Macaca fascicularis: one gene and its partners. The protein of the gene in region 1 interacts with the protein of each later gene in a pairwise test. Links are inferred from orthologs where the notes say so. Each region holds a gene or a part of one and is shown in the gene's direction. Other genes may lie near its edges. The genes, in order: PACSIN1, ANKRD24, JADE2, COBL, COBLL1 and EHBP1.

Evidence for each region.
Region 2: the proteins of PACSIN1 (region 1) and ANKRD24 interact in a two-hybrid assay, tested with the Homo sapiens proteins (2 studies listed by BioGRID and IntAct). The link is inferred for Macaca fascicularis from reciprocal best matches to the Homo sapiens genes PACSIN1 and ANKRD24.
Region 3: the proteins of PACSIN1 (region 1) and JADE2 interact in a two-hybrid assay, tested with the Homo sapiens proteins (2 studies listed by BioGRID and IntAct). The link is inferred for Macaca fascicularis from reciprocal best matches to the Homo sapiens genes PACSIN1 and JADE2.
Region 4: the proteins of PACSIN1 (region 1) and COBL interact in binary tests that used the Homo sapiens proteins (3 or more experiments, as listed by UniProt). The link is inferred for Macaca fascicularis from reciprocal best matches to the Homo sapiens genes PACSIN1 and COBL.
Region 5: the proteins of PACSIN1 (region 1) and COBLL1 interact in binary tests that used the Homo sapiens proteins (3 or more experiments, as listed by UniProt). The link is inferred for Macaca fascicularis from reciprocal best matches to the Homo sapiens genes PACSIN1 and COBLL1.
Region 6: the proteins of PACSIN1 (region 1) and EHBP1 interact in a two-hybrid assay, tested with the Homo sapiens proteins (2 studies listed by BioGRID and IntAct). The link is inferred for Macaca fascicularis from reciprocal best matches to the Homo sapiens genes PACSIN1 and EHBP1.

Annotation. Positions count from the first base shown.
Region 1 is NC_088378.1:137,164,584-137,169,551, reverse strand, and holds part of PACSIN1 (protein kinase C and casein kinase substrate in neurons protein 1), read left to right. Parts: intron 1-901; 5' UTR 902-964; coding exon 965-1,027; intron 1,028-1,977; coding exon 1,978-2,134; intron 2,135-3,291; coding exon 3,292-3,527; intron 3,528-4,346; coding exon 4,347-4,502; intron 4,503-4,617; coding exon 4,618-4,793; intron 4,794-4,968. UniProt on the Homo sapiens protein: Plays a role in the reorganization of the microtubule cytoskeleton via its interaction with MAPT; this decreases microtubule stability and inhibits MAPT-induced microtubule polymerization.
Region 2 is NC_088393.1:4,961,847-4,965,509, forward strand, and holds part of ANKRD24 (ankyrin repeat domain-containing protein 24), read left to right. Parts: intron 1-2,472; coding exon 2,473-2,598; intron 2,599-3,663. UniProt on the Homo sapiens protein: Component of the stereocilia rootlet in hair cells of inner ear.
Region 3 is NC_088380.1:141,115,040-141,120,007, forward strand, and holds part of JADE2 (E3 ubiquitin-protein ligase Jade-2), read left to right. Parts: intron 1-827; coding exon 828-945; intron 946-3,974; coding exon 3,975-4,103; intron 4,104-4,968. UniProt on the Homo sapiens protein: Scaffold subunit of some HBO1 complexes, which have a histone H4 acetyltransferase activity. Acts as an E3 ubiquitin-protein ligase mediating the ubiquitination and subsequent proteasomal degradation of target protein histone demethylase KDM1A.
Region 4 is NC_088377.1:79,403,481-79,408,448, forward strand, and holds part of COBL (protein cordon-bleu), read left to right. Parts: intron 1-1,918; coding exon 1,919-2,016; intron 2,017-2,995; exon of another isoform or gene 2,996-3,074; coding exon of another isoform or gene 3,075-3,099; intron 3,100-3,282; coding exon 3,283-4,968.
Region 5 is NC_088386.1:60,395,003-60,400,535, reverse strand, and holds the start of COBLL1 (cordon-bleu protein-like 1), read left to right. Parts: upstream 1-1,910; 5' UTR 1,911-1,956; coding exon 1,957-2,044; intron 2,045-2,177; exon of another isoform or gene 2,178-2,291; intron 2,292-2,729; coding exon 2,730-2,820; intron 2,821-3,153; exon of another isoform or gene 3,154-3,277; intron 3,278-5,533.
Region 6 is NC_088387.1:59,235,810-59,241,380, reverse strand, and holds the start of EHBP1 (EH domain-binding protein 1), read left to right. Parts: upstream 1-2,300; 5' UTR 2,301-2,408; intron 2,409-2,419; exon of another isoform or gene 2,420-3,522; intron 3,523-3,664; 5' UTR 3,665-3,956; coding exon 3,957-4,060; intron 4,061-5,571. UniProt on the Homo sapiens protein: May play a role in actin reorganization. Links clathrin-mediated endocytosis to the actin cytoskeleton. May act as Rab effector protein and play a role in vesicle trafficking.

The DNA of each region.
Region 1 (4,968 bases):
GGTTCCCTGGACCCCCAGGTTGGGCTGAATCTTGCAGAGGCCAGCCCTCCCTGAGCATCCACACTATCAGGGTTCATAGTCCTGGGACTGCAGTGCAGAAGCAAGAAGGTGTCCCCTGGTGCCTGGATCCAGCTAGTGGCTGGCAGCTCACAGCCTGGCCAGGCCCAGCCTGGACTCTGCTGCCTCTTTGAAAACCAGGCCCCTGGCCCTCTTGAGTCCTGGCTCCTGACTACTGAGCCATTCTTGCCTGGGGTAACAGCGAGGGCTGGCTGGGGAGGGGAGGAGGGGAGTACCCACCTTGGCCCTGGGGCAGCGCACAGCCTAGATTGGATAACCGTGATGCCTGCTGACAGATCCAGGGCAGACACAGCCACCCCAGATGCTCCCATAGATCTCCGTGGTGTGACCTGTGAGATCTCGGTGGTGTGACCTGTGGGCCAGGACGCCACACATTGGGATTCCCAGGAGATTTGTAAGGAGCTAATGGGGGCTGCTGAGGTTGGCAGCAAGGGCAGCCAGAAGGGCATTTACAGGGTCCCGGGGCTCAGATAACTGAGGAGGCGCTGAGCCTGGGCTCCAACAGTTCAGGAGACAGAACCAGCTCTGGGGGCTGGGGCTGGGGCTGGCTTCTGAGTGGCGGTGCTCATACTGGAGCTAGAGGATGGATTCGAGGGAGGGGGAAGGAGGAGGGATGGGGAGTTGGGCATGAGGGTGCTACAGGGCGACTCTTAGGGTTACCCTAGGTCTGGTGAGCTAGTTTCTGGACAGGAAGCTGACATCCTAATGCAAGCCTCCTCCCATGGAGCCCCTATCCCATCGGGTTGGGGACCCAGGACTGGAATGGGGCAAAGGGTGGAAGGCCCTTCTCTCATCTCCATGGATCTCTCTCCTGCCCTCCCAGTGCATGAGCAGCTGAGCCTGCTAACCGCAGCTCCGCACTTGTCCATCCCCCTGCGGCTACACCATGTCCGGCTCCTACGATGAGGCCTCACTGGCTCCAGAGGAGACCACCGACAGCTTCTGGGAGGTGAGGCTCTCATGATCTCCAGGTTCTGGGGACCAGACAGCCTGGCTGTTTGGAGGCCAGGCTCCCCTATTACTCACCCCATGACCTCAGGCCCCACTCCCCAGTCCCCCAGGCCCCTCCAAAGCCCTGGGTGTCCAACAGGCAGCGGTAGCCATGAAGTGGCCCAAGAGCACTGCCCACTGAGTCAGGAGCCCCTCTCTCCCCACAGCTGCCCCCAGAGAGAGCCTGTGGCATTTCACAATGTGGGAACAGGCCCTTTGTGACTCTGGCACTTCCATCAGGCAGGTACAGCACAGCCTTTCCCAGCTGTTCCTGTTTCCCTCGCTCGCCCCCGATGCTGAGGTGGGCAGGGGTGGAGCGCTGGACACAGAGAGAGGGAGTGAGCTCCCAGAGCCCCACGGGGCCCCTTCAGGCGCGGCCAGAAGCCAGCATTTTCAGAGCCTTCGGAAATATTTGAGACCTGGAGGAAAAAAATTGCTATTGGCTCCTGAAACCCAAGACGAAAACTGCCAAACCTAAATTAATAAGCGTTTAATGAGATGTCTACAAAACATAATATTATGTCAAGAAGCTGCAGCTCAACTCAACGCTTATATGACTCTATATAAATATAATAGATTTAACTCGCAAAAACAAAATGAATAATTCATTCCAGCCCAAGTCCAAATTCTAAAAATCCTTCTGCATTTTGTGGCAGCGAGGAAATCATGTTTAAATTGGGGTGAGGGTGCGTGTAGACGGTGGGGCCTGACGCAGGGTGCTGGAGCCTCCGAAAGTCAGTTTCCCTGCTGCGTTGCGGCTGGGCAGCGGGGCTGGGGGCGGGGGCGGGACCGGAGGCCGTGGGCGGGACGGCGGGGCGGGAGACAGTGGGCGTGGCCGTGCTGGTTGCGGCGGGCGGGGCAGGGGACGCTAGGAACCCGCGGGAGTGGTGCTCGCTGCTTGGCCGCCAGGTGGGGAACTACAAGCGGACCGTGAAGCGCATCGATGACGGCCACCGTCTATGCAACGACCTGATGAACTGCGTGCAGGAGCGCGCCAAGATCGAGAAGGCGTACGGGCAGCAGCTCACGGACTGGGCTAAGCGTTGGCGCCAGCTCATCGAGAAAGGTGCTCCCCCAGGCTCACATCCTGCGCGCCCCCAGGCCATCACCCGCCCCCTCGGTCTGGGTCCTGGGAGCCCTGGATACTTGCATGCACCATGCCCTGCATCTACCAGCCATAGGACCTTTTCAGGCTCTGTTCCCTCCTAGATCAAACCAGGCTTACCTGTTCATCTGTATTTTGTACAACTTTAGGTTGGATTAAAAAAAAAGCAAAACACTTTTTATCTTGAAATAATTCAAACTTTGTGTGAAAGCTGCAACAGTAGCACAGAGAATTCCTACACACCCTTCCCCCAGACTCACTGGCTCCACGTTTGTTTTCTCACCGACTGTTTATTGATATGCATATGTTCCGAACCTTTTGAGAGTAAGCTGGAGCCATTATCCGTTTACCCCTAAATTCTTCATTATCTCCTAAGAACAAGAGCATTTGCTTATGTAACCAGAGTTCAACTACCAAATTTGGGACATGAATACAACTCATACACAGATTTACCATAACAATTGTGCTTGCTAGTCCAGGATCTAGCGCAGTCGCACATTGCCTCTATGCATCGTGTCTTCAGGTTCCTTTAATCTAGAACAGTTTCAAGTTGCGGTTTACATATACTTGTTCGTGTTATTCTCTTGCAGTATACTCTAAACCCCATGAGAGCAGGGGCTGGGCCTGCACCACCTAGCACAGTGCCCTGCACAGAGCTGGTGCCAGTACACAAACAACAAGTCAATGTGGAATGACTGGTCCCCAGTGGCCTCCTGGCATCTGTCACAAGCTTCAGCTAACATTCCTAGAGCACCTACTGTGTGCTTGGCGCTGTGCTGGGCTTGTCAGAGCTCACAGGGTCCAGGCTGCCCCCCTCTGACCCCACTCTGTGGGGCTCACACGTTGACGGGAGAGATAAAGAGGAGGGAGGTACAGCTGCAGATACTGTGAGAAGAATGCAGCAAGGGCTGCAGGCCGTGGCAGTTGGGTAGAGCAGTCAGGGAAGGCTTCCTGGAGATAGTGGTTGATGTGGGCCCTAGAGGATGGGGCCATGTAGAGCAGAGGAGGGCATTTCTGTTGCTATGGCAGGAAGGGGAAAGCCTCAGAGAAGGGAGGTGTGAGGGGGGCCTCTGGGCAGGGGGCAGTGAGGTTCCTGTGACCTATTGCCACTCCCTCAGGCCCACAGTATGGCAGCCTGGAGCGGGCCTGGGGTGCCATAATGACGGAGGCAGACAAGGTGAGCGAGCTGCACCAGGAGGTGAAGAACAACCTGCTGAATGAGGACCTGGAGAAGGTGAAGAACTGGCAGAAGGACGCCTATCACAAGCAGATCATGGGTGGCTTCAAGGAGACAAAGGAGGCTGAAGATGGCTTCCGCAAGGCCCAGAAGCCTTGGGCCAAGAAGATGAAAGAGGTGCTCAGTGGGTGCTGCCACGGGTGGGGTGGGGTGGGCCCGTCTGATCAGAGGGTGCTGATCCCAAGGAGGGCATCTACGGATGGGTGGGCTGGGCACTGCCCTCCGGGATTGTGCCCACAGGGGAGCAGCACTGCCTTCCAGGAAGAAATATTCACAGATGGGTGGGCAGTGCCCACTGGGTAAGGAAACCCATGGGCAAGAGGGCACTGTCCCCAGGAAAGATACCAGCAGCGCAGACGGGCACATTGGCCCCTGGCTCCCCAGATGGGGTGGGCACTGCACTGCCTGACAGGAGGGTATCTGCAGGGGAGCAGGCAGTGCTAAGCAGAGACAAAGCCACAAATGGAGGAGTGCTGCTCCTGAACATCTGGAGCCAGGGCTTGCATCCTTTCTGGCTCTTAAGAGTGTGGGCTCGGCCGGGCGCGGTGGCTCAAGCCTGTAATCCCAGCACTTTGGGAGGCCGAGATGGGTGGATCACGAGGTCAGGAGATCGAGACCATCCTGGCTAACATGGTGAAACCCCATCTCTACTAAAAAATACAAAAAACTAGCCGGGCGAGGTGGCGGGCGCCTGTAGTCCCAGCTACTCGGGAGGCTGAGGCAGGAGAATGGCGTGAACCCGGAAGGCGGAGCTGCAGTGAGCTGAGATCCGGCCACTGCACTCCAGCTTGGGCGACAGAGTGAGACTCTGTCTCAAAAAAAAAAGAGTGTGGGCTCACAGCTCCCAGGGAGTGGGCAGGGGAGGAGTTGATGGATGACCATGTTTGCTGCTGGTCACAGATGAAAACCCTACTCCCTATTCCCCCCTCCCCACAGCTGGAGGCAGCCAAGAAGTCCTACCATTTGGCTTGCAAAGAGGAGAAGCTGGCCATGACACGGGAGATGAACAGCAAGACAGAGCAATCGGTCACACCTGAGCAACAAAAGAAGCTGCAGGACAAAGTGGACAAGTGCAAGCAGGATGTGCAGAAGGTGCTGGCCGGGCCGGGATGGCAGCAGGGGGTCTGGGGGTCCCCTTGCAAAGGATGGTGGCTGGGAGCTGCAGGCCTGGTTAGGTGTCACCCTCTCTCCATTCTGGTGCCCACAGACACAGGAGAAGTACGAGAAAGTGCTGGAAGACGTGGGCAAGACCACACCCCAGTACATGGAGAACATGGAGCAGGTGTTTGAGCAGTGCCAGCAATTCGAGGAAAAGCGGCTGGTCTTCCTCAAGGAGGTGCTGCTGGATATCAAACGGCACCTCAACCTGGCTGAGAACAGCAGGTACCTGGGCATGGCAAGCACCGAGGGCACAGGCACAGCCAGCAGTTGGTGTGACTGGCATGCAGGGCATCCCAGCCCTACATCATAGTGACGGGAAGGGGAGGCAGAGCTGCAGGGGTCAAGAGGGATGAGGCTTCAAACACAGCGGCTGATGGGTGCAAGATGACGCACACTG
Region 2 (3,663 bases), on another chromosome or scaffold:
AGTTGTTAGATTGGGAATTTTTCACACATTACCTTTGTTTTTTTGTTTGTTTGTTTGTTTTTTTGAGAGAGAGTCTCGCTCTGTCGCCCAGGCTGGAGTGCAGTGGTGCGATCTCGGCTCACTGCAAGCTCCACCTCCCAGGTTCACGCTATTGTCTTGCCTCAGCCTCCCCAATAGCTGGGACTACAGGTGCCCGCCACCACGCCCAGCTAATTTTTTATGTGTTTTTAGTAGAGATGGGGTTTCACCATGTTAGCCAGGATGGTCTCGATCTCCTGACCTCGTGATCCACCCGCCTCGGCCTCCCAGAGCGCTGGATTACAGGTGTGAGCCACTGCGCCCGGCCTTACACGTTACCATTTTTAATCTTCCTGCAACTCTAAAAGCCAGAAAGCCTTTTTTTTTTTTTTTTGGGGACAGGGTCTCACTTTGTCACCCAGGCTGGAATGCAGTGGCACAATCTCAGCTCATTGGACCCTTGACCTCCTGGGTTCAAGCGATCCTCCTGCCTCAGCCTCCTGAGTAGCCGGGACTACAGGTGTGTGCCACCACACCTGGCTAATTTTTTTGTTTCTTCTTCTTTTTTTTTTTTTTTGAGACGGAATCTGGCTCTGTTGCCCAGGCTGGGGTGCAGTGGTCAGATCTCAGCTCACTGCAAGCTCCGCCTCCTGGGTTTACACCATTCTCCTGCCTCAGCCTCCCGAGTAGCTGGAACTACAGGCGCCCGCCACCTCACCCGGCTAGTTTTTTTTGTATTTTTTAGTAGAGACGGGGTTTCACCGTGTTAGCCAGGATGGTCTCGATCTCCTGACCTCGTGATCCGCCCGTCTCGGCCTCCCAAAGTGCTGGGATTACAGGCTTGAGCCACCGCGCCCGGCCTTGTTTCTTTTTTTGAGAGAAAGTTTCACTCTGTCGCTCAAGCTGAAGTACAGTGGTGCAATCTCGGCTCACTGCAACCTCGCCTCCTGGGTTCAAGAGATTCTCCTGCCTCAGCCTCCTGAGTAGCTGGGATTACAGGCATGCACCACCACACCTGGCTAATTTTTGTATTTTTAGTAGAGACAGGGTTTCACCATGTTGGCCAGGCTGGTCTTGAACTCCCGACCTCAGGTGATTCAGCCTCCCAAAGTGCTGGGATTACAGGCGTGAGCCACCATGCCTAGCCTGTTTTGTTTTTGTTTTTGTTTTTTTTGGTAAGAGACAGGGTTTCAAACGCCATATTGCCCAGGTTGGTCTCAAACTCTTCAGCTCATGTGATCTTTCTGCCTCAGCCTCACGAAGTGGTAGGATGACAGACGTGAGCCACTGCACCTGGTTTCAGAAAGTATTTTTGTCCCCATTTTCCAGATGAGCAAACTGAATCTTTAAGAGATGAAGTTAGTGGCTCAAAATCACGCAACATGTCACTGGACAGGAGATGAGACACCCAGAGTCCCAGGCGCTTCAGCATAAAGAATGACCCAGCCTCGACTCACTGTGTGACCTTAGACCAGACACTTCACCTCTCTGAGCTTCAGTTTCCGCCTCTAAACAGAGGGCAAAATTGCAGTTAGGATGATGGTTTATCTATAGCCTGGTTTCTTCCCCTGCGCACTGTGGATGTCGAGGCAGGATCGTTTCCTGGGCTGGGGCTGTCCTGGGCATTGGAGGGGACTGAGCAGCATCCCTGACCTCCACCCACTCCATGCCAAGAGCTCCTCCAGGTCGTGTTGTCCTCACACAACACCCAGTGTCCCCTTGGGGGGCAGAATTGCCTCAAGTTGAAAACCCCTGATGTATAGTAATAATAAGGCCCTGCATTTATTGAGTGCCTACTGTTGACCAGGCACAGTTTAAACATACTTTCTGTGGAGGATCACAGCTACTACTAAGTTAAGAACTTGGCCGGGCACAGTGGCTCACGCCTGTAATCCCAGCACTTTGGGAGGCCGAGGCAAGTGGATCACCTGAGGTCAGGAGTTCGAGACCAGCCTGGCCAACATGGCGAAAACCCGTCTCTACTAAAAATATAACCATTAGCCAGACGTGGTAATGGGCACCTGTAGTCCCAGCTACTCAGGAGGCTGAGGCAGAAGAATTGCTTGAACCTGGGAGGCGGAGGTTGCAGTGAGCGGAGATCACACCAGTGCACTGCACTGCAGCCTGGGTGACAGAGCGAGACTCTATCTCAAAAAAAAAAAAAAAAGACAAAAACAAAAAACGTGAAAACCAATTTTAGCTTGTGGGTTGTATAAAAACAGGCTGTGCTGGTAACCATAAGCATCTAAAATAGAAATAAATAAATAAATAAATAAATAAATAAATGAAATTAAAACAGGCTGTGGGCCAGACGTGGCACTCAGGCCAGAGTTTGCCTGGGACAGGACCTTCCCTCGAAGGCCTTTATCCCTGGCCTTTTCCTGCGGCTGCAGAGAGGTCCTCAGCCCCCAGCCCTGGGCCCAGGGTGATGGCTGACAGCACTCGCACCCCCAGATCACAGAACTCTCCAAAGAAGTCTTCAGTCTTAAGGAGGCCTTGAAGGAGCAGCCGGCCGCCCTGGCCACCCCCGAGGTGGAGGCCCTCCGTGACCAGGTGAAGGATTTACAGCAGCAGCTGCAGGTAAGGGCCGGGCCGGGCGGGGGCCGCGGGACCATCAGGATGGAGGAGTCCAAATATTTACCAATCAGCACAGCATGGGTGGGGATCCCAGGAGAGGGGCTGGGGTGGGTCGGTGGCGTCCACATCACCTGCATGGTGCGGCCAGGAAATATTTCCTTTATTTCTTTTGAGACAGGGTCTCACTCCATCACCCAGGTGGAGTGCAGTGGCACAGTCTCGGCTCCCTGCAGCCTCAGCCTTCCGGGTTTAAGCAATTCTTGTGCCTTAGCGTCCTGTGTAGCTGGAATTACAGACACGCACCACCACACACCCAGCTAATTTTTGTATTTTATTAGAGACGGAGTTTCCCCATGTTGGCCAGGCTGGTCTCAAACTCCTGGGCTCACATGGACCTCCCAAAATACTGGGATTGCAGATGTGAGCCACTGCTCCTGGTACCCACTCCCCCTTTTTTTTTTGGACACAGGATCTTGTGCTATCAGGCTGGAGTGCAGTAGTGCAATCATAGCTCACTGGGCAGCCTCAAACTCCTGGCCTCAAGCAGTTCTCCACCTCAGCCTCCCAAAGTGCCTGGCCATATTTCCATATATCTATAACTATATCTATATCTATGTAAAAAGACAAAAATATATATATAGATATAGATAGATAGATAGACAGACAGACAGACAGATAGATTTTTTGAGACAGTCTCACTCTGTCACCCCGGCTGGAGCGGGTGATCTTGGCTCACTGCAACCTCTGCCTCCCAGCTCTCAAGTTCAAGTGATTCTCCTGCCTCAGCCTCCTGACTAGCTGGGACTATAGGTGTGAGCCGCCTTGCCTGGGAATTTTTTTTTTTTTTTTTTTTTTTTTTTTTGAGATGGAGTCTCGCTCCGTTGCTCAGGCTGGAGTGCAGTGGCACAATCTCAGCTCACTGCAACCTCCGCCTCCCGGGTTCAAGCGATTCTCCTGCCTCAGCCTCCCGGGTAGCTGGGACTACAGGCACCCACCACCACACCCACCTAATTTTTTGTACTTTTAGTAAAGACGGGGTTTCACCGTGTTAGCCAGGATGGTCTCGAT
Region 3 (4,968 bases), on another chromosome or scaffold:
TAGGAGGGGTCCATGTCCCATGAGCTTAGAAGCTGGTGTCTAAGGCCCCAGGGGGCTCTTCTCAGCTGGCCTTGAGGCAGTCAGAGAGGCCTCTGCCCTCTCTGCTGAGGAGTTCTGTCACTGGCAGTGTGAAGGTGGCTGTGTGGATGTGGAAGCCTTGGCCAGCATGGCATGAGCCTGGCTCAGGTCCCAGTGCAGCAGGTAGACATGGGTTGGCTGCCGGCTGGGCACAGTTGGGTTAGGACTTCCTTTCTGCTCAAAGCTATTCTGCTGGCGTTCTCTCGGGCTGCAAGTACCAGGGCCATTTGTGGCTCAGGACACATGTTAGTTTTTGCCATGCCGTTTGTGTCTGAAGAATTTCTTTACTGGAAAAGAAAGGCCTTGGACAGGAGGCAGAGGGATGAAGTTGGTGACCTGGTGAGACCCTGATGAGTCTGCGGGCACTGTGGTTATAGAGGAGAGCAACCATGTTGGCAGGGCCTTGGGAGGCAGCGTGGCTGACCTTACCAGGAAGGTAAGACTCCAAGGAGGAAGGTGGGCATGCTGGGCTGATCTAACCAGATGCCCTCCCCTGGCCGCTCTGGCTCAGCCAGGGACCACAGGGCCGAGGCTGTGTGTGGCCTTAGGTTTTGTGTCCGAGACATGCAGCACAGGGCTGAGGATGCGCTCAGGGTCTGGAAATTGGTTTGCAGATGTTCTGGGCAGGATAGGCTATGGTGGTAACCTGTGCCCCCGGCGCTGCCTCTACCCATAGCAAGGTCCCCAGAGCTGGGAGGTCTGGGGTGGTTGCCTGTGAGTAAGGTGGAAAATCTCTCTTGTTTTCTCAGGTTAGAAATCTGTGCTACATGGTGACAAGGCGCGAGAGAACGAAACACGCCATCTGCAAACTCCAGGAGCAGATATTCCACCTGCAGATGAAACTTATTGAACAGGATCTGTGTCGAGGTAGGCGCCTTCCCCACCTGCCACTGCCACCTCCGTGTGCCCTCTCTTGCGGGGCTGGGTCCCAAGAAGGGTGTGTCTTGGGACCCTGGTAGGGTATCTGCGTGGAGCCAGGGGCCACTGGCCCCCACCCCTACCCTTCACCATCCAATTAGTCGGCCCAGACGGGGGCCTGCCAGGGTCCTGGGTTGTGTGTCACTAGGCAAAGAGCCAGAGGTTGGAATGTGGGCATCAGGCCTGCCCTCAGGGAGCTTTCTGGTTGACTAGGCCACAGCAGTTCAGGAGCTGATTGCATGTGAACAGGTACAGAGAAGAAGGCCTAGTGGCTTTCTGCTGGTGCTGAGGCAGGAAGACGCCAGAAGCTGGTGAGCTTCCCTGAACCCTGGTGTGCCTGGGAGTCAGTTTCGAAGAAGGCAGCTGCCCCAGAGATGTGATAGGACCTGGCTATTGTTTCTGTCTGACCCTAACAGGATTCTTGCACTGCATCTGCAGTGTTTTCCGCTGTTTTATTCTTATTCTTCGTATTCTCTTGGCGTCACATGTGTTCAATGGGTCTGGCAATCAAAGGCTGAAGGAAGCTCTGACATTGATCTTATCTGTTAATTGTGGATATTGCCAGACACAGGACCCTTCCTGGAGCGTATACATGTTAAGAAGGGCAACACTTAGCCCCCAAAGCGGTACCCCAGTGTTTGGTTTACATGCAGCAGAAATAGCTGGGTGGAGAGAGACCTTGAGCCTGGGTCTGCCAATGCCACTTCAGCCTCGGAGCTGAGCTGGGCCTGGAGTGGAGAGGAGGGAGGAAAGCTGCTGAGCCACCATTGGAGCAAATGACTGAGGACCTCTGCTGCCCCTACTTCTGCCTGAGAGCTGAGCTGACCTGATTGTGCTTTGGCATCACCATCCGCTCTGGCCCCAACATCTAGCCTTGCCAAGTTCAGGTGCTAGTCGTGGCCATGCAGAGCTCACCATGTACCCAAAGACTGTGGCAGCTTCCTGGCTGCTGGAGCTTTCCAGGCCCCCTGTCTTCTGTTTATTCATTCAGCCAGCATTAGCTGAGCATGGATTGGATAGGGTTCCTGCCCTTGTGGAACACACCATCTGGAGAGAGAAAGGAACGTGGTATCGCAGAGGCTACAGTTGCTGCCAGTGCAGGGATAGAAGTATCAGGGATGTCTTCCCAGAAGCAGTGATGCTCCGACAACATCTCAGGCCTCCTAGCACTTGGCTGTGGCCACATGTCGGCTGCAGAAGGAGAAGCCCATGCAAGGCACCCACAGTTGAGGAAGCAGAGGGTGGCAAGCCACGAGCAGTGCCCTCAGGCACAGGATTCCAGAAGCATGGTCAAGAGCCTGGAGGGTTCACATCCCCGCATTGGTTCTGGGGACATTTGCAACTCCTTGTCTTGAGTGTCAACAACAGGCAGCTGTTTGTTCAGGGCAGGGCGGGGCATTTGGAGATGACTGGTTTGCCCTGTCCAAAGCTGCTGCTCACACTGTTGGGAGGCTTGACGCTTGGGGTGGGTCATGGGCTGTGTGCATATTGGTGAGGCTGTCTGGCTTGGCGGCTAGAAAAGGCCTCCTAGTGGAGATGATATTTGGGCTGTGAGCTGAATCAGATGAAGGATAGGACAAGAAAACAACGTATTTGGAGACTTAGTGGCCACAGCATGTCTTGGCAGAGAAACTGGAAGGAGGCTGGAATGGCTGCACCGGGCAGAAGGAAGACACCTAAAGTAGGGGTGATGGGTAACCAGGGTCACATGTGCAAGATCTTCTTGTAGCCTGGGGGAGGAGCTTACACTGTCCTGAGAGCAGTGGGGAGCCTCTCCAGGAGCCTGCCTCCAGAGTGTCTGGGCATTGGTTACATGCCATGTTACAGATGAGATTGCCCAGGCACGGTGGCTCATGCCTAAAATCCCAGCACTTTGGGAGTCCACAGTGGGAAAATCCCTTGAAGGCAGGCGTTCCAGACCAACCTGTCTGTACAAAAAAAAATTACAAAAATTAGCTGAGCATGGTGACACATGCCTGTATTCCTAGCTACTTGGGGGAGCAAAAGTAGGAGGATTGCTTGAGCCCAGTAGTTTGAGGCTGCAAGTGAGCTATGATTACACCACTGCACTCCAGCCTGGGTAACAGAGCCAGGCTCTGTCTCTAAAAAATAAATAAATAAACAGATGTGGCCAGGCACAGTGGCTCACACCTGTAATCCCAGCACTTTGGGAGGCCAAGGTGGAAGGATTACTGGAGCCCAAGAGTTCAAGACCAGTCCGGGCAACATAGTAAGATCCTGTCTCTACAAAATTTGAAAATTAGCCAGGTGTGGTGGCGTGCACCTGTAGTCCCAGCTACTCAGGAGTCTGAGGGTAAAGGATCACTTGAGCCTGGGAGGTCAAGTCTGCAGTAAACTATGATTGTACTACTGTGCTCCATCATGGGCAACAGAGCAAGACTCTGTCTCAAAACAAACCAAAATAGATGAGACTGAGGCCTGGCCTGAACTGAAAGGATACAGGAGCCAGGGGTGCACCCTGAATCTCCCATCCAGTTCACTGCCTGACTTTGAAAGCCAACCAAGAGACCAATGCAGGAGACTGGTTCAGGGGAGCTGACCCTGGGGTTAGGAATGGACCCCAAGCCTCTCGACCCCTCAGATAGTGTTCCTTCCACTGACATGTCTAGCTCCTCAGCCTGGCATTCAAGGCCCTGACCTGTCCAGACTCCCCTCCAGCCATTCTTCCCACCACCCACACTCTCTCCCAAGGCTGCAGGTTGTGCGGGTCAGACTAGAGTCCAGGTCCTGCAAGGGCCTCTCCTTGTGGCCCTGTGGCCACCCCAAGTCCCCCACAGGGCACAGTGGACAATTGGCTCACCCCACCATGCCAGCCGTCCCCTGGCTCCAACCTTTTTGCTGTGGAGGGTGAGCACTGACTGATGGAGGACTCCTGGGCTGCCACGCAGGGATCTTGGTGCTGACTGAGGCCACTCAGGATAACCATATCCCTCCTCCTCTCGCTTTCCCTGACACAGAGCGGTCTGGGAGGAGAGCAAAGGGCAAGAAGAGTGACTCGAAGAGGAAGGGCTGCGAGGGCTCCAAGGGCAGCACTGAGAAGAAAGAGAAAGTGAAGGCGGGGCCTGACTCAGTCCTGGGGCAGCTGGGTGAGTGAGGGCCATGCTGGCCTGCAGACACGGGCAGGCTTGACCATCACCACACTTGCAGCTCTGCTCTGCAGAAGGCCAGCTGCACAGAATAGGAGACTGAGGCTCAAGAGCGGTAACCAGGCCCTTGCTTGCCCAGGTGCACACACCTTCCACCCACAAAGGAGACAGATCTCAGAGCCCCGTGTGACATCCTGGGAAATGCCCCTTATGTAGACCTGGATGGAGGCTGGGCCACGCCCATTCAGGAACTGTCCAGTCATTTCCCTGGCTGGATCCTGGTGGCTGGATTTTCCCAGAGTCCCCCAGGACAGCCCGCATGCTGGGAGGGGCGGATCTACCAGAAAGCCCCATCCTTGTCTTACTCTCCCAGAATCCTCTAAATAGGCCCTTCCTGTAACAGCAGCAGACTTTCCTGGAGCTACCCAGAGATACCCAGAGGAGTGGCTGCAGGCCCTGGCCCTGCCCATCACCTCCACTGCCCAGGCCTCCTGTTAGGCAGAGCAGCCTAATGGGAGCATTGTGACTCATGGACCTCATGTGCTTCCTCCAGAGATCTCGGGGAGCATCATGGAGTCCCCTTCCAGACCTTGCCTCTGGGACAGAGGCCCCAGGTCATCCTTTCTGTCCCTCTGTCTCAACAAGGGGACAACCCAGGCATGGTGGTGCATGCCTGTATTCCCAGTTCTCAGGAGGCTGAGTTGGGAGGATCACTTGATCCCATGAGGCTGAGGCTGCAGTGCACCATGATCATGCTACTGCACTCTAGCCTGGGTGACAGAGCAAGACCATGTTCCTTCATTTCACACCCCTCCCGCAAAAAGAAGGGGATAACTTGGGTGTGTAACAGGAAACCCAGTCTCAC
Region 4 (4,968 bases), on another chromosome or scaffold:
TCTCTGCCATATATTTTATTAAAAATTTAAATATATTTAAACCATCACATTTCATGAAAGAGAAAAGCACAACTTTAGTAAAGTGCATTCAAATAATTAAAGTCCGTGGCAAAAGTAATAGGGAAGACAGTCATGCACCTCTTGTGGTCCTTATTAATGGGTCCACATGCACACACATCTCCAACCAGCCCCCTTTGTGTAGCTTGTCAGAGGACATTAGCTGAGACTAATCTGGAAGCCACTTCCTGGCTCCCAAATGGACATAGTCACCAAATAAGAAAGACTCATTTATCAGAATAAAAACTTTGCTACGTGAGGGTTGTGCAAAGCTTATTTCATGCATCATTATCTGGGCCTGATTAGCAATGATGGAAATTGGTCCTCAATTTTTAACAATCAGCGGAAAACAAACCTTCAGCTTTCACTGAAGATAGACAATTGCCATAGACATGTCTCTGTATTTTCTGCACAATAGGAAAATAGAGGCAAGAGCCCTTGCAAAGACAGTTTTTAAATTGTTTTGGCAGCAGTTGTCTCACAGATGCCATTGTCCCTGTGACGCAAATAAAGCCAGATCCGGCTCTCTGAGCAGACGGGTTGACATCTTCCTGGCTGCCCCGTGCCACAGGGGCCACATTATTATGTGTTGTGGCCCCAGATGCAGCTGGTCATTCCTGGGCTTTGGGGCAGGAGGCCTGGTTCTGGATGCCCGTGTGACCTGGGCAGCTCTGTTTCATCTCTGTACCACAGTGACAGCAACACTACCTACCTGAAAAACTGTCTGTGAGGGTTATAAGAAGATAATTGGTGCAAAAGAGCTGTGTTCGGGGGCTGGCACAAAGGCATGCAGGCAGGCCTCACGCTGCTAGGAGCTTCCTCCTGTTGAGTCTGAGAGGGGACCTTGGGAAGGGGCTTGCAGGGTCAAGGGTGGAGCGGTTATTCCTGTTACTGTTGCTGTGAGGTTTCTTGGCCATCCTCATTATCTTTATGTCCCAGTTCAAGATCCCAGGGAGTACAGCTCTTCAATGGGCATTATCAAGCCCCCAAGCCCTGCCCCTGCAAGTGGCATTATCAGGCTCCCTGTCACCCACCCAGGGTAGAAATTAAGCCAAAGTAAACATAGAGTCTGTAAAAGTCATTTATAGTCGGGCAGTGAAATTTCTCGTTTTCTGAGTATGGCAGGGTGGGCCACTGCTAGGGGGGACACAAATGGAGGCTGAGCTTATGAAGTTGGTGGGACTTCTGGGAACCCTCCTCCATGCAGCCCTGCACAACCCTCCCCATGGGCCTCCTAACAGCAGGCAGATCCTGCGCCAGAGGTATGTAGCCTTTATCACTGGGACCTCGAACGATGCTGCACTCAAATCCCCAAGTGCCGAGGAACAGCCAGGCTGTGCAGTGTCAAGGTGAGGTGGACCAGCCCCCAGCCACGTGCACATACTTGGCCTCCAGATGGCTTCATTCCTTCTTGCCAGGTGCCAGGTGCAGGGAACTTGCTGTAGTGCGAGGCAGAGATGCAAGCAAATCCTGGATCACATGAACCTGTCTTTTGTGCAATGGAATTAAAACTTTGACTTCAGTCTGCAGAGTGAATGAAAGCTGTGTGTGGTTTGGTTACTTTTAACACTTTGGGGCCACACACACACCATATATCACATGCACACCACATGCAAGACATATACTCCACACATGCACACATGGCACCTGCATCCCACACACACCTGTGCACACGCACGGGGGACACACACACCCATGAACAATCTGCGTCTCCGTAGTTCTGAGGACAGCAGCAGTACAGTGAGTATGTGACTGCTTGAATTTGAGTGTGAGCTGTTCTATCCTCAGATATTCCTGGAAAGGAGTACATTAAATCAATAGTAAGAGAAATGAGTACTCCTTTCTCTTTGGTCTTCCCCAGAACTGAAAAAGCTGCCACAGCCTCAAATGATGAAGAAGACCTATTAATTACTGGACAGTTCCATAAAACCCTTGCAGAACTTGATGAAGACCTGGAAGGTAAGAACCACCTGATCTACTACTTTGATATTATGCTGCATGAAAGTAGGTGCCAACAGTAACTTCCTCTGAGCATACTTTGATGTATCTACGTGAGGAAATGGCCTTCAGAAGGAATTCCAGTCCAGTTTGGTGAAAGCCTGGATGTGAGGCACACACAGTTTTCCAGTAGACTGCTTTTTATCTGGGCCGCCAAGCAGTACCTGGAAACATCCAGACAGCTGCTTACAGTGTGCTCTGAATAATACTAATTCTGCGCATTAAAAAGTATGCTGCACATGCTAAAGAATAAAAAGGGTGGTGCAAAAGATAAACAGATTTCCTCATTAAGACTTCTCTTGATTTGCTAATATATGGCATCTCAATGAGAAATAGCCTTTTGACCACAATGAAGCCATTTATAATGGAGCATCTCATGGCACTGCTATTATATTGATATATTTTGGGGAAATAATACTGGAAGGCCAAAGCAGATGGCAAATAATTGCAGTAAACAGCTAGGGAATCTTTCAAACAAAGCAGCTATGTTATTTTCTCCAAGGCATATGTTGAAAATAAACTAAAAATTAGATATTTATCATGCCTTAAAAAGAGAGAGAAGATAACAGACTGCAAAACTGACGGGTTGTTTTTGTCTGACTCACTTTTCAGTTTCCTGTCCTGAGAATGTATAGCTGACAGAGCTAAAAATCTGAATCAGCCATAGTGTGTCCCGCAGGTTCTGACCCCATGACCATTGCATCGTTTGGTGCTTGGAAGAGCAATGGTAATTCTGAGATACTCAAGACTTAGTCATCTGCTTCCTTAAGAAGTTAAAGCTAGAGCCCGTGGTCCTCTGGATTCTGTTGTGCTTCTAGTGGACATGAGAAACATGGAGGTCAAAACCCAAAACTCACTTTCATGTTTCTATGTTGAGATAGTTTTTCCAGAGGCTTGGATCTAGAAATCGATTTTTTTTTTTTTTTTTTTTTTTTTTTTGAGACGGAGTCTCGCTCTGTTGCCCAGGAGTGAAGGATGTTGGCAGCACGTTGTAACTGAATACCTTGCCTTGAAACATCATGGATCTGCAAACAGCTGTGTTGAGTAATGAAAGTTGAGATTCTGGCCCCAGGCATATTATGTAGATTACAAACCCAAATAACATTTTAAAACGTACGTAAATAATGTATTCAACAGTAACCTCAGGGAAATCAAAGTCATGGCTGCAATTACACTAAGTAATTGGCGTGGGAAACCTCTGTGATTTGTGTTTGTCCCTCTTTGCAGAAATGGAAGACAGCTATGAAACCGACACCAGCTCCCTTACCAGCTCCATCCATGGTACATCCAACCACTGCCCACAGGATGCCATGGTCCCTCACGGCGACACAGATGCAATCCCAGTAACATTCATAGGGGAAGTTTCAGATGATCCTGTGGATTCGGGGTTGTTTTCCAATAGAAACAACAATGCTGGGTCTTTCAACTCGGAGGGTGTTACCAGCAGGAGAGCCTCCCTGGCGCCACTTCAGGCTGAGCACAGCCAGCCCCCTGGAAAGGCAAGGGAGGAAGTACCTGCCCTGCACCCCGCTTCCCATGACATGGGAAAAGGAATCCGTGTGGCCTTATCCAACATCTGTAAAGACGGAAATCTAATGGAAACAGCGCCCAGGGTGACTTCTTGTGCTTCGAATCTTCACACAGACAACCTAAATGCAAAAGTGAAAGACAAAGTGCATGGCTGTGCTGACGGGGAAAGGACTCAGGCCACAGAGAGAGTGAATTCCCAACCAGTGAATGAAAAGGAGGGCAATGATAAAAACGCTGCCCTGGCACCAGCGTCATGGCACCAACGAGGCCAAAACCCAGGGAGAAGCTACAGACTGAAGCACGGCCTCACAACATATAAAATCATTCCTCCAAAGTCAGAGATGCGATGTTACGACAGAGACGTGTCCCTCTCCACCGGCGCCATTAAGATTGACGAGCTGGGGAACTTGGTGAATCCCCACACCACCGGCATCAGGATCATTTCCCTGTCTTCGTCTGTGCCTGAAGCAGAATCTCAGCCCATTGGGAAAGTCAAAGAGTTCTGGAGGTGCAACTCTGTGGAAAAGCACCTGGGTCGGCCCTCGGAGAACTCTGCCAGGGGACCCTCCTCCCCGCCTGTGCGCACCCAGACGCAGCATCCAGAGAGCAGACACCAAGCAGACCCCAAGCCAATATTGCCCCAGGAGCAGTCTGCCCACCATGAGGGCCGGAACCCCCTCGAGGAGGGGAGAAGCCAGCCCCCCACCATGGGCATGCGTCACGTGAAGGTGCCAGCAGCTCACAACACAGAAGTCACATTTCTCAAGCCTCAGAGAAGAACATCCAGCCAGTATGTGGCCTCTGCCATTGCCAAGCGCATAGGACCCCCGAAAGTCCATGCTGACGTGGTAAGGCCGCACGGCCATGCCGAGAAGGGTTATGCAGGCAGGGTGCCAGTGCTGGCTGCACCACCTGTAACTGTGAAAGATGACAGGACCTCCAGCCCACACTCAGAGACACAAGGTTGGAAGGACGGTGCCCAGCGGCCCTGTGTCACTCCTCCTGACAACCATGGGGAAGACTCAGCAGTGGGAGCCCCTCCTAGCAGGGAGGTCAGCAGCCCACACAGGAAGTTGTATACTCAGGATGGACCTGCTGCTATCCACAGAAGCTCCTGTTTTTCACTGGTTCCGTCTTCCCAGAGGGATGGTGTTTCTGTGGGACAGAGCTGTGGTTTCAGTGGAAAGCAAAGCACAAGTCACCAGGAGGCCAACTCAGCATCTGAACCCAGACACGCACCTGATGGTACAGACCCACCCCCTCCACACATGTCCAATGCCCAGGCCTGCAGCAGGGAGCTGGCCAATGGCTCTGTGCATGCCCCAGGCCGCGGCAAGCCTTCCCATCCTCCAGAAGGGTCTGGCACAGAAAGCCACATTCTCC
Region 5 (5,533 bases), on another chromosome or scaffold:
TTGGTGGTGCTCTTAAGTGGTTTTGCCCAACATGAGCTTATTTCTTGGTTATGTGGATTCTGTTGTAGGTCCTTGGACTCTCCAGGGCAGCTGTGCTCTGGGTGATAGTTTAGTATTCCAAGAACCTTCAGTCTTGTGTCACCTTCATTTTAATACATGCTTTCATGATTGTAGCAGCAAAGGAAGGGAACATAGAGACTCAAACACTGGCTTAAGTAATTTCACCAGGAAACAAAGCATTTCATGTCTGTTCACATTTCCACTTACCAAAGTCACAGGGTCATACCTAATTTCCATGGGGTGGAGCATATATTTCTCCCTAGGACCAGAAGGAGGAGAGCAAAAAGTGGTGAGCACTGAAAATGCCTTCAGCGGTTATGAAATGTTATGAAAATGTTTTATGACTAAGATAAGGCCTAATCTTACTAGTATTAGGGTCCATAATATTACTAGTATGTCGTACATTAAGGCTGAAACTAATTAAAGATTTAATCTTGTCTTGTGATTGAAAGTTATGGACTTTCAAGTAGTTTCCCTGTTACTCAATATTTGCATCATTGTCTGTGCAAGCAACTGTAAAAGCTTGCACAGCTCCGTGTTCAGAAGCATAAATGATTCATGAAATTGTTTAACTAGAGTTATTGTTTAAAGACTAAAACCCAGAAGTATTTACATAAATTGCTTTACTCTTAGTTAAAATCTCTAAAAGCAACTTTTTCTAATATGGTTCCAGTATTGCAATCCAAATGAGTCATGTGTTTTTCTTTTCATATTTAAGATGCACTGAAAGACTACATTATGCAGTGAAAGAAAGAAATACCAATGCCTGCGTATGATAGACAAATGGCACACTGCTAGGTATTTAGTTCAGCAACCTTTTTTGTTGCTGAAATGGATAAACAACTAAAGGAGCATTAAAATCAATTTAATTTTAATACCTGCCAAATGTTATTCTATCAGTGGCTAACACAGGTTTATTACTTGATGTTAGTACTACAACAGAAGTCCCCTGCAGGATGTTCCTTCATGTAAGATCTCTCCATCAGTTTAATCCAAATATGTTTTTAAAACTGTAATTTTAAGTTGATTTCTTAATGTCATATGGTTTTCTGAAAACACATTTTTGGACCCATCAGAATGGCTCGCATCTTAAAACAATTGGCACTTATGAAAAATATAAAATATGTAAATAATTAGGGTGGTGCAAAAGTAATTGCGGTTTTACCATTACTTTTAAAAATGGCAAAAACCGCAGTTACTTTTGCACCAACCTAGTACCTGTCTGTCAGGTGTAAAGAATCATGTAAAAGGCATGCACGTGGATACTAAAACGTTCAAACAAGCACACATCTGTGTCTAATTCCTTTACCCTTGTAAAACTTCCAATAAGTGAATACAATCTATCAGTTAATTCTTAGTTTATAGACTGTCATCAGACATTCTGTTGTCCAGTTCTCATGTCAGAGCTGTTATAGGCTTTTACAAAAAATGCCTCTGAAGACAGGGCAAGCTTAAACCTGCCATCAATTAGAAAGATCTGTGTCACAGGTGCACTTTTAAAAGAATGGCAATCTTAGAGGTCAAGTTAAAAACACAAATTTAAAAAAAAAAAAAAACAATCCTGGACGTCGAGGGTCAGACTCCAGGGAGGGCAAGCTGCAGGTCCCACTCTGCGAGTTTCTGTCCTCATTCCGCGGAGGCCCTAATCCTCCCCGCGGATCCTGGCAAGGCAGGTAACCTCCCTTCCCCCACACCTGTCCGGCTCGGGCGCACCAGCCTTCCCCAAGCGCAGCCCTAGCGGTGGGAATGGGAACACCTCGTCTGGGAGCTTCCTTTCGGTTCAGCTTCCCCAGCCGGACCCCAAAGACCCGAAGCCCTGGGGGAAGGAAATTCCAACTCGCTCCCGGCCCACCCCCGCCCCGTTCCTTTCTCCGGCTCGCTGCTTCCCTCGCTCCGATGCCGCCGAGCTCGTCCCCACTTCTGCGCGGCAGTGCTGCACAGGCGGCGGCGAGCTCCCGGACTCCGGGCAGGGAAATGGGGCAGGGTGAGTGAGAGATCGGGCTCCAGCGAGGCCCCCAGCGCCCAGCGAACGCCCGCACCCCGCCCGCGGGACAGGGGAGGCGCTGAGTCGGCCCTGCCCGCGCTGGGCTGAGCCTCGCAGGGGTTGCCGCTTCTCCATTCAAGTCCTGGCTTGAGAGCCGAGCGGCAAGAGCGCGGGCCGGGGGAGGGAAGAGTAGGAGAGGAAGCCGCGAGGGAGAACAGGCGAGCTACTGTCTCCTTTGGGAAAGAACGTAGGAGCCTTGGGTGGGAAAAGAGAGATCAGCCCTTCCAACTTCTCTTAGGGAAAAGTTTTCCCGGGGCGTTTTGTTTGTGCAAACTCGGCCGGAGGAGCCTGGGAGTGCGCTGCCGGCGTGGCGGCGGTGCCCGTGCGCCCGGCCCCGCTCTTCTCCCTCCCCGAGAGGCGCCAAATGGCTACCCAGTAAACCCCACGGGGCGGGGGCTGCAGCGCCGCCGCCTCCTCTGCGGTGCTCTGGGCGCCCGCTAGACCTTGCAGCGACGGCGGCGGCGCCCGCGGGCTGGGAGCCGGGGCCCGCAGGTGGAAGCGCACCCGGGAGGCGGGCCGGCCCGGGCTGGGGCAGCGCGGGCGGGCTCTTGACGCTCAGCCAGCTTCGCTCCGGCCTCGGGAAGGCGTGCGTCCCGCCCTGACCCGCCGGTCTCTCCCACCCCAGCAGTGACGCGCCGCCTGGGAGCTGGAGCCCGCGCAGCGCCCCGCAGGGCGATGGACGGCCGAACCCCGCGCCCGCAGGACGCCCCAGTCGGGTAAGCCCAAAGCGCCGCGCCGCCCCTCACTGGGGAGGGCGAGGACGGCGAGGATAGCGAGGCCTCGGCCGTTTCACCTGGCTGGCAACTCGCTGCCCTGCCGGCGGCCTGACTCACTGGCTGTCCTCCACGCGGCCGGGGAGGCTGCTTCCTCCCGGCCTTCTCGGAGGCCGCCCGGGCGGAGGGCTCGGGTCGTTTCTGGTTGCCTTCCTACCGGGGCTGCCCTGGGTTCCTGAAGGCCAGCTGAATGCCAGGAATTGGGTGAGGAGTCCGAGAGCAAAAATTGTAACAAAGGGGCCCTTGTTTGGGCTCTGGGGGAGCGGTGGACGATACCTGTAAGTGAGCTCCTGGGGAGGGAGGGCAAAAGTTTCCTTGGCCATGGGCTGAGACCCAGGCAGGTGAGCAATGCCAAGGTGACTGTAAGGAGTGGGCTTTCTGCAGGCGGTTGGAGGGGGACAGGAGGGTGTGCCAGCTGTCAGCCCGCATGACAGTTCCGGGAGCGAGCGGGGTGCGCGCCTCTGACTGGGGGTGTGTGTGCCTGTGGCCAATTACTGGTGCCAAAACCCAGGGCAAATCAGATTGCAAACAACTCTACTTTTCTTTTTATCCTCACATGTTTGAGAAGAGAGGAAGGGGCTGTCACATGGTGAGTTAATGTTAAATGAGGCATGTCTTCCTGCCAGATATGCTAATAGTCACCTTGCTAAGCGTTTGAGTAAACAGCAGTGAGAACAGGTAGTTCTGCAAGAGATGAAGAAAACCCGAAATTAACCTTGGTCTTGGTAAATAGTTCAGGAGTAACCTGGATGCTAGTTGAGCTTCTGAAGTGGGAAACTCATTTGATGTAGTACAACTTCTTTTCCCCCCAGCGTTAAGTGTTCCTCCAACAGTTTATTTTCTTAGTTAATCTGAACGCAGAAATGCCCAATTGAGAATATGAGCATTCCAGAAATAGAAACGTTAGGGAAAAATCGACGTTGTCACTAATGAATGAGACTTGTACAATTTTCCTGATTTAAGAGTGTAGAAGTCATTTTTCCCTGGAACATGACAGGCGTTTCCTTAGAAGCAAGTCACAGCATGTTTATTCATCAGAGACCATGCGAACATTGGCAGTTGTCTAGAGGAAACATGGAAAAGTCTCAAAGCAACATGACTAATCTAAAAGATATTTAGTATAATTTTTACATAGAGGAAACGTAGTATGTGAATTAATTATTTCATTTTGCTCCAATTAACTTTCTCCTCTCTGCAAATATTCCTCTCGCTGTTGACTTTCATTTCTTTCCCCAGGTTTTTCATTGTTTAAATATTATCATATCTCCTTACATATATTCTCACATTAGGATGAGTAAAGAAATATATTGGTAGAAAGATATTGAGCATACAAGCAAGATTCCTAAGTGGAGCTGCAGAATTATGTGAATTGACGAGACAGCTGTCAGGATACTGAAATGTATTCAGGGATTGCAAAATAAAATAGAATTAAATCGGGTTTGGAAATGGATTAGGTTAAGGTACTTTCAAAAACAAGAAAGAAAAACATACCTGCTTTCACAAAATACACCCATGGGTGTTCAGAAGTCACTGGGGACTTTAAGTAAATAGGTGAGGTCAGGTGGCTCTGTGTTGAAGAAACAGAAAAACACTTTTTGCTGGCAAGCATAACTATAGTAAGAACCTTCAGACTTTACTCTTGGTATTTTATTTTAATGTAGAGACGAGGTCTTGCTATGTTGCCTAGGCTGATCTCAAACACCTGGCTTCAAGCAATCCTCTAACCTTGGCTTCCCAAAATGTTAGGATTACCAGTGTGAGCCAGTGCGCCCAGCCACTTTTGAGAATTTAAAGGTTAAACTGATAAGTTATTTGCTTAAAAAGGAAGTACAAAAGAGCTTTATCTAATTTGTCAAACATCTTTAAAGGACTTTTGCCCTCCCCTTTTCAAATTTAAGTAGGGAAAATGTGTCAACACCTTATCTAAAATAACACAGTAGTTCTATCATTTTACCTGACATTATTCTATTCAGAGAAGTGATCATTACCTGAAAAATATCAACATTAAAAAATTACCTCTCTACTTCATTTGTCTTCTTTCACTTGTCTAACTTGTCCTTTGGCATATGCCTGTCATATAAGATTTGTTGAATATTTAATATTCAGTATTGCCTCTGTTCTTTCTCAAAAACCCAGAATATAAAAGGTTTAAATTGGGGGAGAAATATCTAGACAAGGATATTTTGGAGGTGGCAGGCAGCAATCTTAATATGTTATAATTGTTAGGTTTTGGAGGAAAATTTCTTGCTATAAAACTGACTAATTATATCATAACTCATAACTTTAATAGACAATGAAGCCTAGTTTAGTCTTTATCCTTGGATATTACTGTTGGAAAGAATTCCTCTGTAATTTTCCAAGTTTTACATTGTTGTAACATGTCATTTTAACATAGCACCAAGTTTTGTTCTCCACATTTTATAAATGAGACTCTGAAGCTCAGAAACACTGAGTGAGTGTGTTGAAGTCCCAGCAAATTAGTAGTAAAACCAGAAGAAAAACTCTTAAGTGCCTAGTTCATTTTGTTAATTGCTTTTAATCTTTTCTTGACCATGGTATGATATAACAATCTACATTTTAACAGATAACTTATATTTAACCATTAACTCTGTAATATTTTAATACATTTCAGGAAAAATGTAGTTAATATCCTTAT
Region 6 (5,571 bases), on another chromosome or scaffold:
GAGCCTGGGTGGTTGAGGCTGTAGTGAGCCTTGATGAGGGAACTGCACTCCAGTCTGTGTAACAGAGAGAAACCCTGTCTCAAGAAAAAAAAAGATTAATATTCAGTTGGTATTCAATAACTATCAACAAAGCAGCCCAAAAGAGCTGAACATATTCTATATTTAATATTCTTCAATAAATTTAGTTAGTAGACAGGTTGTTTTTAAAAATGTTACAGGGGAAGAAGTAGCTGCTCTGTAGGGCCTCCAGGAGACAGCTTATGAACATGAGGTCAGCGGCAGAACAGTGTCAAGAGCTGTTCTTGATTCCTTCACTCATTTAGTAAACTATTCTAACCTTGATCTCTTCTTAGCTACCTTGGTGTCTAGAAGGAAAAATAAGAGTTTACATCCAAGACAAATACTTCCCCTAAAAAGAAGAGCTGTCATAAGAAACCATCAGTCTCTTGAAATTTCCCACAACTTGAGGAAGATTCCCTAGGGATCCTACTCCTTTATTTATTTATTTTTTAAAAGACACTATTTAAAACATTACTTTTAAGAGAATTTCTTTACAATAAAAGTCAGTCTCTTTTTTTCTCTCTCTTCCCCCTCTCCCTTTTGAGTAAGGGAAGCATGTTAAAAGAAACCAGAATGACCACATGAGAAAGTTTGAGAACTTACGAAGAACAGTAATAAATAGGGTGCAAAAACCTTCTGATCATCATGTGGATTGTTTCTGAAGGGTAACTTGGATGAAAATAATTTATGACCATTTCTACAAATTAGCCATTAAAGAACTCCACACACTTAAAGCCTATTAATGATGCAGAATATATTATTATATGAGATCATAACGGCTATAGGTTGTAGTGACTTCGTAAACTACTCAGGAAGGACATCAGAGAACTCTTAATACAAAAGAATCAATATGATTATTACGATTATTGTAACATTTTAGAATTGACTAGCAAAATAAGCGATAACTATGCTCTCTTCTGTAAAATGCACACTGTGCTCTTGTGTTATTAGATCACTTTCTTTATTGAAAGTGGAAATTGAATTAGATACTGGATTCAAGCCTTCCATCTATCTGTCTCCCCATCTCTCTTGATTCTTCAACATGTCTCTCCACTTTGTCTTGGCCCCCAGTGTCTATAGATGGACTCAATTCTCACTCACCACTGCTCTCCCTGTCCCTGAAAGAATCCTCCCTGGACCCTAACACCTTTCAAGCTACTTTGTCCATGAACCCTGCTTTCCAACTTTCGTAAGACTGAACGATCCTTGTTTCCAGAGCCTATCCCGCTTCCTTTCTTTTTATGTTAGCTTGCCTCTCTTTTTCTCCCCAAACTGTCTGCCCATTGCTTGCTGATGCGCCTACTTCTCTGATTATTCCTTCTCAGTCTCTTTCCCATTTTACTCTTAAATTTTATTCCTTAAATGCTAGGATTCCCCTGAAGTTTCATTCTTTGTCCTGTTTCTCTACGCCAGAGGTCTGTGAACCATCTAAAACTGAAAACAAATTTTTGTGTTTTGAGACAGGACACTTTTTCCCCCTTGAGAAAGTATCTGTAGCTTTCATGTTCTCAAAAGGGCCCTTGGCTCTTTTAACAAGATTAAGTGTCCCTGCCCTCACTCTGCCTCCTCCTTTTTGCCTTTGACTACCCTTTTTGTACGCTAGCTGTTCCCAAATCCATCTACAGTTCTCACTGGGGGCAAAAGAGTCCGACAGCGAAGAGGAGAAACCAAGATTCAAAGAAACGTGAAGACTCCGAACAAGAAGAAATTGTACTGTACACATTTTGTGTCTAGCTCAGCTGATCAATCCTCTTGAAGACCAGTTGACTCAATGTTGGGCGGGGAGCGGGTTGAGGGGGGGTGGCTGACAGGGTCATTACTTCAGGTTGTCAGGTAAGATCCCAGGAGGAATTGGTGAAATAAAGGCTGTATGCGCAAAAACCCTAGTTGCCAGTGGTGGAGGAGAGGGCGCGCCCAGGTCCTCGCGGAGATGAGAACAGGAGAGAAACCCACAGGCAGCCGCACTGCCCACAGCTGCTGCGAAGCCAGTCTCCAGGTCTGCAATCACCCTTAGGGTCCAGAAACCCAGCCCGGCACCGGCGGCGCCTTTGACGGACAGCCACCTTCTACAATCACCTTCCAGTTCAGTATAAACACTCCCTATTCCTCCCGCCTATCGCTTCCCTCTCCAAGCCAATCAGAAGAACGGGCGGGATCGTACTTAGTCGGTTCCTTTTTTTTTTTTTTTTTTTTTTTTTTTTTTTTTTTTTTACAAAAAGGTTGCCTGTGCGTCGCGTTCCGGCTTGGAGAAAAACCACCTCCCAAGCAAGGGGAAGGTGGAGCCCCTTTGATGGGCAGGCAGTTCTACCAGTCAGGCACCCCAGCCACTCTAAGACCCGGCCGCTGAGGTGGGCGGGGCACGCGCGGGACCCGGCCAATGGCGGCGGGGCGGTGGAGGTTCAGCTGCGGTGGGTAGGGTTAGTGTGAGAGGTGCGGCGGGGGAGGTAATGATGATGGTGGCGGAGGAGGAAGGCGGGGGAGGGGGTGCTGGGCGCTGAGCGGCGGCTCTGGCAGGGTTTGGTAGGGTGGGGGACGGTCGCGGGGCGATCTGTCAGGGAGGGGGCGGGCGTGAGGGGCGCCGTCCGCCTGAGGGGCTGCAGATCCCGGCTCCCGCGAGCGCCGTGGCTGGCTTGGCTGTTCCATGTGGCTCCGGCGGGGATGGAGGACTCGGTGGCGGCGGCGGCGGCTGCTGCTGCGGCGGCGACGGAGGAGCGCCTCTGAGAAGGGAACGGGGCCAGACACAACCCGACAGCGGGATTAGAGGTGTGAGGAGGGGGCGGGAGTGGACGAGCGGCGGGGCCGGGGCTTGGGGTCCGGGCTGGGGTCTTCTGGTATCGCCTGGGTGACAGGGACCGCGGACGAGCCACCGCCTGCCTCCGCTGGGGGGCAGGGGTCTGGGCTCTGTGCGTGAGGAGACTGGGCTCCGGCGGACTGTTCCCCTGAGGATGGGGGAGGGAGGCACCGCACCCTGCACAGTCCACTTGCCCCGCTGGTCATTGCTTCACGCCCAGGCAGGAGTTTCCATTTCCCTCCGGTTGGCAGCGAAGGAGCCCAAGTGGCCTGGAGCCGGGACATTGCCCTCTCTCTGCCTGGAGATTTCCCTCCACTCCTCGTTTCCCATCCATTTCCTCCCTCCGACTGAAAAACAGCATTCCTCCTGGCTCCCTAATTTGTTCCAAGCACATATTGTCGGACTTGAGGCTATTAATTATCGGCTGAAAAACAAAGTTTATTAAAAATACTCCACTCCTCCCTCTGACTGGCGGTGGACATTAAACAGCATCCCTAGACTTTCCCGCTCTGCTCGCCCTTCTGTGATGCTAACGGGGAGGTAGGGCCCCGAGTTACCATCTCTCTGGATTGTTGTTGATGCTGACTACCTGATGTGTCGCTCCACGTCTTCGGTGTGAATTGTAATTTCTTCCTTGGTGTCTTGCATCCTTGATGTTACTGGCTTTTGAGGTCGGTGTTTTGTTTCATTGTTTAAAAGACATGCAGAGAACTGGGATGGTCTTTTGCAGCGTTATTTAACATGGGTGGTTAGTCACTTCTCATGATTCTCTCCTCATATTCTTTCTCTTTTTGTCTTTGTTTTGCTTTTCAGTCCTCCAGAATACACATATAGCCCCTGAGGTGGCATGGTGATGTCTCCATGAGGGAACCCCCTCCCACTCATCCTGTCACGTATATCATAGTGTTCTTGACTGGGCCATTCATCTAAGATGGAATTTACCCTGTGAAACAGGGAGAAGACTTATGGACCCCAAGCATCATTTCGAGTTGTAGTTGAGTTTTTAAAAGACATACATGCAAAGTTCGTTTGCTTTGGACCCTCTGCATTATTAAAGCTGCTGTATTGCTAACCCAGAACTGCTCCAGTGTCTTGACTGATCATCATGGCTTCAGTTTGGAAGAGACTGCAGCGTGTGGGAAAACATGCATCCAAGTTCCAGTTTGTGGCCTCCTACCAGGAGCTGATGGTTGAGTGTACGAAGAAATGGTAAGATGTATGTGGAGGTAGAGTTTGCTGTGCTGTGGCCTAAACTCTGGGTCTTCTGATAGTTTATTTACCTTTCTACAGTGCACTAATGTGTAGAAGCTGGGTGGGGTGCAGATAACTCTAACAAGTACTATGCTGTGCACAGTTGCAGCTAGTATCATCCCTGTGGATTTTAATTACTGCACTTCAGTATGGCTCAGAGGACTGTAACTGTGAGAGCACACTAAATACAGTACATTTGGTTTTGAGGTTATTCATCATTAGTGTTAAAATAACTTTGATTTTTGTAATTTTAAGGAGACAAAGAATGGCTACTGAAATATTGTGAGCATGTATGCATATGCTTTAATATAACATAGGCATATGACTGAATTGAGTTTTAATATAGAAGTCTATATTCTTGTGGGGTGATGGTAATCTTTTTTTTTTCTTGTTTTTTCATTTTTCCTTGCTTAGGATAAAGAATTTTTCATTATTTGATTAATGGACTGCCATCCACAAAACCTTAGAAATTCTTTTGTTAAATGCTTACTCAGGCAACTGTATTTTATTTTAATTGCCTAATGGGATACATTTCTTGGCCAGATTTAAGGAAGCAATTAGTAGTGCTGGTCTGTGATTGGCTTCTTTCCACTTGAGAAGAGTAAATATAGGGCTTTCTTTCCATTGCCCTGAATGATAAACAACAAAATTTTTTAATTTAGTGGGATAAAAAAGTTAATTTTAAGCAAATGGTCGTTTGGGCCTTGATTTACTGCAGTGATTAAGCAGTAATGGACTTAATTGCAAAATAAGCCCATTTCTTTGTCCACAAGGACTGTAATTCAGGTCTGTAATAACCTTTCTTTTTAACATCCTTTTTATTAGATTAAAAACATAGCTTGCTCTATTCTAGAACTCATAGCATATTTGAATATTTATTTGGAACTAGTTTCTGAATGCTTTTCTCTTCAACTTGTTAGGAATATTATTTTAAAATCAGTTTGAGAAATGCATGCACTCATTACCTACTTTATACCAGGTACTGTGGATTTAGAGTAGAATATGACATAATCCCTGTCCTCAAGGAGTGTACAGTCTAGTGTAAGAGTCACATGAATAAATTTACTGTGAGAGATGCGGTAGTATAAATATGTATGACATAACGATTTTAATCTGTCTTCATCCAGTTGAGTATCTTTGAGGACAGATTATTTAACTTCTCTGTGATTCAAATTTCCATAGCCATAAAGGTCATAATGGTGCCACTTCATAGGGAGGGTAATTGTGAAGATTAAATGAGTTAATACATGTAAAATGCTTGGAACAGTGTCAGGGACATAGTGCCTAATAGATGCCATTATTACATACAGAGGTAGCAGAGGGAAAAACAATCAGTTCTTTAAGGGTAGAGGATGAGTTGTTGGGATGGCTTCCTAGTATCTGAGCTGGGTTTTGAAAGATTCATAGTTGTCCAGGAAGCCAAGGGGGAAGAAGTGAAAGACATTCTAGACTGAAGCAACAACCTATGC